Linked DNA regions of Sus scrofa. The protein of the gene in region 1 purifies or fractionates together with the protein of each later gene. This does not show direct contact. Links are inferred from orthologs where the notes say so. Each region holds a gene or a part of one and is shown in the gene's direction. Other genes may lie near its edges.

Region 1 (4,309 bases):
AACCTCAGGGTATCATTACTGTCATTGTCCTCTTTTCCTCCCCAGTTAAAGAGCCTCCACCCCCACCCACTTGGCCTGGAGAGTCTAGGTTGGTGTTGGCCTCCCCCAAAGGACATTTTCTCACTCCAGGGTTCAAGGCTCAAGTAGGAACTAGCCCTTCCCAGGAAGTGGTGGGGGAAGCTCCAGATTTCCTTGAGGGCCCCTTGGGTGTTGCCCAGCCCTAAAGAAACAACTGGGAAGCTGGTAGGGCTCCAGGAGCTAATCTGAACCACAGCCCCTGTTGCTTCAAAGCACTCAGGTAGGACTCTTAGGCGAAACTGTAGAAATACCAACCCACCAAAGCTAACTCATACACTTATCTTTTCAAGTTCTTCTCACACCTGTGTTGACTCAAAACAAAAACGACAACTTGAAATTTGCGAGTTAGCTTTCATCAGGGACCTTATTGAGGACCAGAGCCTGGGAGACAGCCTCTTTGCTAGCTCTGAGGAACTGTTCCAAAGAGATGAGAGAGAAGCCAGGATATTTAGGAGTTTTTGCTGAAAAACAAACATGTAGTCACGCATCGAAAGATTACTGCTAATCACGAAAGACAGACTTCTCAAGTTAATGATTTTAGTCTTTTTCTTTGGGGAGATGCAAGAATCCGAGCTCATTGAAATTGTTCCCTGATAGGCGTCTTAACTGTCTAAGGCCAGCACCCTGTTTTTCTCCGTCCCGAATGTCCCTCAGGGCTCATAGTCAGGGGCAGGGCAGTGGCTGGCAGGCAGCCTTCTTTGTTTACTGAAATGACAGGCAACATTTTTTCTTTGTCCTCACCTGTATATACCAACCTCTTCTCCAGCCACAACTGCCCCCACTAACAAGAAGCTCATTAGGCTACAAGCCCACTTGACAAGCCAGTGACCACTCAGCCAAGAGTCCTGTAGCGGTCTGCCTTGGCAAGGGGGTTATCTATACACAACAGTCTAGCCCAGAGGAGGCTTCTTGCACCTCCCCAGTGGCCACACCTGCCTACCCCACCAAGGCTCTACCACCCCAATGCTCCATTCTTCATTCGGAAGCCTCCTGCTGTGTACTCCAAGGGCACATTTCCAAAGAGGGATCAAGGGACAGCGGGAGTGGAAAGAACAGCTCAGGGTTCCGCTTGAAATGGACAAGGAGGTGTCAAAACCAATCACCCGCTAGTGATCTGAGCATGCGCCAAATTGCTCCCCCAGGTGAGCCCGGGAGGGGAGTCTCCGGATTCACGCGTGCGCAGAACAACCAGCTCATCTCGCCGGCTTTTCGCGTGCCTGAGCAAGATCCTCCAGACCGACAGGGGGCAATGAACTAGTTCCCACACGGGTTTGGCGCCGCTAGCGTAATCCGGAAGTAGCCGCTGACCCGGAAGTGGTCGGGCTCTAGGTTTCGGGAGGCGGTGGTGGTGGTGGCGGCGATAGCTGACTCTTTGGAGGTGGCCGCGGTGCTAGGATGAACGCCCCTCCTGCCTTCGAGTCGTTCTTACTCTTCGAGGGCGAGAAGAAGTAAGTGGAACCGGCCTGGGCGGGGAAGGTGGCGGGACCGTCAGCGCACGCAGGTTCTGGGGAGTCTCTGCCCGTCCTCTGTTGCGTGGGGACAGAAGCCACTTTTGCTCGAGCGTCTGCTCGGCCGAGAGCTTCACACCTGTGTCTGCCAAACTTAAGACAGTCCTAGGCGGTGGTGAGTCTCCCCGTTTTGCAGAGGAAACCAAGGCTCAGAGAGGTTAAGTAACAAAGTGGCCGGTCTGTATTCTGGGATCTGGTAGCCCCCTCACTGGTCTTCCCCTCCGCCGCCTTCATCCTTTTTGTTGCATCCAGAGGGATGGCTCTCAGACTCACACCGGATCTTCATTCGCTGGTGTAAAACCTCCAGGGACTGCTCATTGCTTGCAGAGGAAGCCAAGTGTAATCCAGTGCTCAGGCAGACTGGGCTTGGCTCCTGGATCCCCTATTTAAGGACTCTGTGGTTTTGGGCAGGTGATTTAATCTGCCCGAGGCCCACTTTCCCCATCTAGAAAAAGGGCTTATTACTGTATTAAATCATAGGTTATTCTCTAAGAGGAGATTAAACGAGATAGTTTATGTGAAGTATTTAGTCCTGGGCTCAGCACTGGCTCTTCTTTCTCATAATTACCTGTTTTGCAGGGCTCTGTGTTCTAGCCCCTGCCATCCCTGTCACTCTCCCTTGCGAGGCAGTAGCTCTCAGCTGGGGGCCATTTTGCCCCCCACCCCCCGCCCAAAGAACTTTGGCAGAGTCTGCAGATGTTTTTGATTGTCATATAGGGGATGCTCCTGGCATTTAGTGGGTAGAAGCCCGGGCTTCTGCCAGCATCCCGCAGTGTGTCATACGGCCCCCTGCAAACAAGAGTTGTCTGACCTAAAATGGCAGTGGTGCCAAGGTGGAGAAGGAGCAATCCAGAGTAGGCATGGGTCCCACAGAACCAGACGTGGCAGGGCTCGAGGTATAGCCACACTGCTGCTCTGAGAATGAGAGGTCTTCCTGATGAAGAGATGGGGAAAGGCTTCGAGGAGGAGGAGGAGGAGGTGGGGCTGAGCCTGCCTTGAAGGGCAGGGTTTAGAGTCCCGGAAGGAGGGAACCCCCAGCCCCCACCTGTCGCCTTTACCTCTTCCTAGGATCACCATCAACAAGGACACCAAGGTGCCCAATGCCTGTCTGTTCACCATCAACAAGGAAGACCACACGCTGGGAAATATCATTAAATCGTAAGCTCCAAGTCAAAGGCTTTTGGTGGTTGTGTTTAACGGGGCTCTTTGGAAGGACAGGCAAAAGTTCCAGATGATCTCAAGTCTTTCTAAGCTCCAGGAAGTCCTTCTGGGTGCTGGCTCTGGGAATTCACATCCTAGTATCTTTTCTTCAAAATGACACTGGCCCCTATCTGTTCACGTAGCTATGTGTCTGCGTTGGCTCAGTTATCTGGCTAAAGGAAGGGAATGTGCAGTGAGTTGCGAAGTAGGCCCGGTTGGGATGCTGTGCTCACGAGCGAGCGTGGGGAAGCAGTCAGGGTTGGCCACCCACCCTGCCACCGTTTGTGACATTGACCTTGATGATGCATGGTATTCTAAGATGGATGTGCCAGAGACTGTAGCTGCGTAGAATAAGGGAGGGCGTGGGAGAGGGGTTGTGGCCATCAGGTGCTCTATCCTGTGGGTACCTCATATTGGTTGGTGGGTGTTATTTGCACCGGTGAAGTCCTGGCCAGGTGGGTGGCCAGCAGTGTGATAGCCGCTCTGGCCCAGGGACTTGCTGTTTTGCTGCTGAGAAGGGCTACCAGTGAAGCGGTGTCTTTCCCAGGTTTGCAAGTTAGAGTCCGTGGGCAGGAGCCTACCCAGCCTCCTGGCATGAGCAGGGGCTGGCGAGGCCCACCTTCTGTCTGGAGGACTCTGGCCCAGAGCCAAGCCAGTGGTGCACCAAAGCTCTCCTGGGGCCCCGCTGGTCCCACAGTGTGAACCCAGTGTTCCCACCTGTGCCATCCTCACCCCCCAGTGCTCACAGTTGACAGGCCTGCTCTGGAGAAACCCCATGTGCTCACATGATGCAGGCTTCGCTCACAGCCTCAGGGAGGAGGACCTCAAGTGCCCGGAGGACTTCTCTTTCCACTTCAGTGACCGCTCAGAGCCTGGGCCCCTCCCGCTGCTGCTGCCTGTATTCACTGCACCGGAGGCCCTTTGGGGGCTCCATGTTCTGGCTTCCCGCACACTGGCTGGGTTTTTACTGCCTGGGGAGGTTTCTCTGGGCCACTGTGGGGTCCCTGATGTCCCCTGAGAGAGGAGGTTGCTGGGAGCCCTGTTCCTTAGGGAGGGCCATTGAGCATCGTGGAGGTAGGTGTGTTGGGAGAGGCGGCCCCATGTGGTCCATCTTCTTCAGTGTGTCTGTTTTACTTGAAGAGGGGACCCAAACAACTGAAGCTGAAGAGCAGCTGCCTTTGCTCCCAGGCCCCAACCCAACAGGAAGACGCCTTGGGTAGAGGGCCTGGGAAGCCGCAGAGGCCCGAGCCCCCGGGGCCCTGGCTCACCCTCCCTGCCCCCTGCCCGTCCCGTGTCCCAGGCAGCTGCTGAAGGACCCCCAGGTGCTCTTCGCTGGCTACAAAGTCCCGCACCCCTTGGAGCACAAGATCATCATCCGCGTGCAGACCACGCCGGACTACAGCCCACAGGAGGCCTTCACCAACGCCATCACGGACCTCATCAGCGAGCTCTCCCTGCTGGAAGAGCGCTTCCGGGTGAGCAGCTGGGCGCACAGCTGCGGCGGGGTCGAGGGGTCGGGGGGT
Region 2 (3,647 bases), about 100 Mb from region 1:
GTGGCCATTTGCCCTTTATAGTAGGAGAAAATCCTGGATCTGTGTTGCATTTAGTTGTCATGTCTCTTACTTTCCTTTTTTTTTTTTGTCTTTTTGCCATTTTTTTGGGCCGCACTTGCGGCATATGGAGGTTCCCAGGCTAGGGGTCAAATCGGAGCTGTAGCCACTGGCCTACGCCAGAGCCACAGCAGTGTGGGATCCGAGCTGCATCTGCAACCTACACCACAGCTCACGGCAACGCCGGATCCTTAACCCACTGAGCAAGGCCAGTGATCGAACCTGCAACCTCATGGTTCCTAGTCAGATTTGTTAACCACTGCGCCACAACGGGAACTCCTTATTTTCCTTTAATCTAGAACAGCTCCTTAGTGTGTGTTTGTATTTCATGACTAGTATTTTTGGGGTTTTTTGGTTTTGTTTTGTTTTTAGGGCCACACCCGCAGCATATGGATGTTTGCAGGGTAGGGGTCTAATCGGAGCTGCAGCTGCTGGCTTACACCACAGGCACAGCAACTCAGGATCCAAGCTGCTTCTGTGACCTATGCCATGGCTCACGGCAATGCCGGATCCTTAACCTATGCCATGGCTCACGGCAATGCCGGATCCTTAACCCACTGAGTGAGCCAGGGATAGAACCCACCACCTCATGGTTCCTAGTCAGATTTGTTTCCACTGTGCTACGACAGGAACTCCGACATTGGTATTTTTGAAGTGTATGGGACTTATATCTTGTACAAAATGTGACTCAGTTTGGGCTTGATGTTTCCTCATGATTTGATTCAGGTGGCTCCTTTTTAGCAGAACTTTACAGATGTGAAGTTGTGTTTTTTCCGTGTATCATGTCACTAGGCACGGATGAAGATTTGTCTTTGGTCACTTACTTCAAGTGGTGTCTGCTAGGTTTTTCATCATAAAGTTATTTTCTCCTTCATGATAAGTATTTTGTGGGGTGAGGCTTTGATTAATAAAGGCCCTTTGAGTTTTCAAATGTTCACACACCAGTTTTAATATCCCTTATTCTAGGTAGGGATAGTCTCCATTTTTCTGTGATACATGTTGCAGATATTCTCTCCCTGTTTGTCAGTTGCCCTTTGACTCTTTGTTCATGGTGGTGTTTTGCCATGCAACAGTTACTGTTTTGTTTCATTTTGATGTAGTCAAATTTATTTATATTTTATTGCACCTGGTTTTGAGTCATGGTTGAGAATCCTTTGCCTACACCTGTTTAAGAGGCATTCATCCCGATTGTATTATAGTATTTATATGGTTTTATTTATCTACATTTGGATCTTTGTTCCATTTAGAATTTATTGCCGGGTATGGTGTGAGGTCTCTGTTACCTTTTTCATAAAGAGTTGTACCCACATGACTTATTAAAAAGTCTACCTTTGTCCCAGTGAGGAGATGTAACCTGTATCATATACCCAAGTTTCATATGTACTTGGATATATTTCTGAATTACCTATTTTCTTCTTCTAGACCGTGTGCCTATACTATGCTGCTTTAATTATGTAGAAGCTTTATAGTATGTTTTAATATCTAGTAGGGCTAGTCCTCCTCAGAGTTATTTTTAGTATTTCCCTGATTATTCTTGCATGTTTATTTTTCCATATGACCTTTAGTATCAACGTATATGGCTTGCTAAAAAAAGCTCTTTAGTATTTATATTGGGATTGTATTATATTTGCTCATTAATTAAATAGTTGACATCTCTATGATGTTGACTCTTCCTGAGAACAATGAATGTGTTCACATTTGTCAGGTCTATTTTTGTGTCTTTCAGGAGTATTTTCCTCATGTAAGTTTTGTTAAATTTGTTAAATTTACTGGTGTTTTTTATTGTTTGAGTTAGTTTTGTCGTCGATTGCCTAGGGGTTCCTAGGTTCGTGCTCAAATTTAATATATACCCACCTACCCACCCAGTCATTGGTGGACTAGTCTTTAAAGCAGTGAACTTCTGTTCATGACAGCTATTGTTATATGTCTAGTAGAGAATAGCAAAGCCATTTGGAGGAGGAGATGCTGGACCCTGGCTGGGATTACCAGTTAAATGAGCTTGCCTGTGCCATCTTTGTTGCAGTTCTCAGCAACATAAACATCTATGTGCTGTGGCCCTTGGGAATCACTCATGGATACTTGAAATGGCAAATGTTCAATTTGGTGCAAAGGGTCCAATGTACTTGGATAGCCTGTTAAAGGTTAAGGGAGTTTCAGTAAATTGTTTGCAGAAAATCACAGGTAGAGTTGCACAGTTCTTAGTTGGGCGCAGAATGAAGCACTGACTGTCAGCACATGTGTCATCGTCCTTTTTCAAGGCCTCTGGCCCCTTGAGATCTCTGCCTCTTGATGTTGCTGTTATTGGCCACCCTTGTTTCCCAGCTGAGCTTTATGTAACTTTTTACGCTCCTGAAGAGGGAGTGGTCATGACCTCCCATGGCTTTAGGTTACATGGCTTGGTTTTAGGTTCTCATAGAAACCAGTCCCCATGGGCTGCATCCACGGCCCTAGAATTACTTGATTAGACTTTTCCTGATCATTGGAGATCAGCTCTTATTCAGTTTCCCTGAGTAGGGAATTTCTTCAATTAATATATTTGCCTTTCCATTTCCCCCCCTCTTTTGCTTGAATAATACCTTGGCTCCTTTATCATTTCACCTCTATTCTCATCAGACTCTCTCTGAACTTAAATTTCCACCAGGAAGCTCCACACATTTACCTTTGACTCACCAGCACACTAGGTCTGCTCAAATGTCTTCAGCCTTCATAGGAAAAGTCATAGCTCTTCCAAGGTGAGAGCTAGTGAAAACAAATGATATTACTACTACGATAAGCTACTTGAAAGTTATTTTCCTTAACTTAAAAATGAGACCTCTTGGGTTATTGGTCTCATGAAAGCACTTTGTGAAATAAACTAGTGTAGAAATGTTAAGTGGTATTAACAGTACATTTAGAAGAGATAAAATCTTATATTTGATCATGACCACTTTCATCCTGCCAATTTTTTTTTATAAAAGGACATTTTATTTTATTTTTTTGTCTTTTTAGGGCCACATCTGCAGCAAATGGAGGTTCCCAGGCTAGGAGTCGAATTGGAGCCACATCTGCTGGCCTGCATCACAGCCACAGCAATGCTGTATCTGAGCCGAATCTGCCACCTACACCACAGCTGATGGCCACGCTAGGTCCTTCACCCACTGAGTGAGGGGTCGAACCTGCATCCTCATGGTTACTAGTCAGATTTGTTTCTGCTGAGCCATAGCAGGAATTCCCATCCTGCCAATTTTTAATCAGTTACTTACTGATTTAAATCACTCTTTTGAGGAGGCCTATGTCATGGCATGCTACTGATAGGTGTTTTCTCTGTAGGCAGCTCATCTCCTATGCTGGACCCATCTGACTTGATCCTAACTCGTGGAACCTTAGATGAAGAGGATGAGGAAGCTGACAGTGATACTGATGATATTGACCACAGAGGTGAGAGGTGGCTGAGATGGCTCATGAAAACAGAACAGATGCTTCTCCTCATTGTTTGCCTGGGAACTTCTGGTTGTTGCGAGAAGACCTTATCCATGTAGCCAGTAATGCGGGAGAGAGGAAATGGTAAAGGGAACAGCACCAGGCAAGAGTTCCATATATTGAGAGTCCTG

What was found. Proteins that work in one complex are often made in the same cells at the same time.
Region 2: the proteins of POLR2J (region 1) and GPN1 purify together in Homo sapiens (affinity purification with mass spectrometry; 5 studies listed by BioGRID and IntAct, with this or other methods). This does not show direct contact. The link is inferred for Sus scrofa from reciprocal best matches to the Homo sapiens genes POLR2J and GPN1.

What each region holds. Positions count from the first base shown.
Region 1 is NC_010445.4:9,813,721-9,818,029, reverse strand, and holds the start of POLR2J (DNA-directed RNA polymerase II subunit RPB11-a), read left to right. Parts: upstream 1-1,372; 5' UTR 1,373-1,473; coding exon 1,474-1,526; intron 1,527-2,654; coding exon 2,655-2,744; intron 2,745-4,086; coding exon 4,087-4,261; intron 4,262-4,309. UniProt on the Homo sapiens protein: Core component of RNA polymerase II (Pol II), a DNA-dependent RNA polymerase which synthesizes mRNA precursors and many functional non-coding RNAs using the four ribonucleoside triphosphates as substrates.
Region 2 is NC_010445.4:111,544,538-111,548,184, reverse strand, and holds part of GPN1 (GPN-loop GTPase 1), read left to right. Parts: intron 1-3,366; coding exon 3,367-3,474; intron 3,475-3,647. UniProt on the Homo sapiens protein: Small GTPase required for proper nuclear import of RNA polymerase II (RNAPII). May act at an RNAP assembly step prior to nuclear import.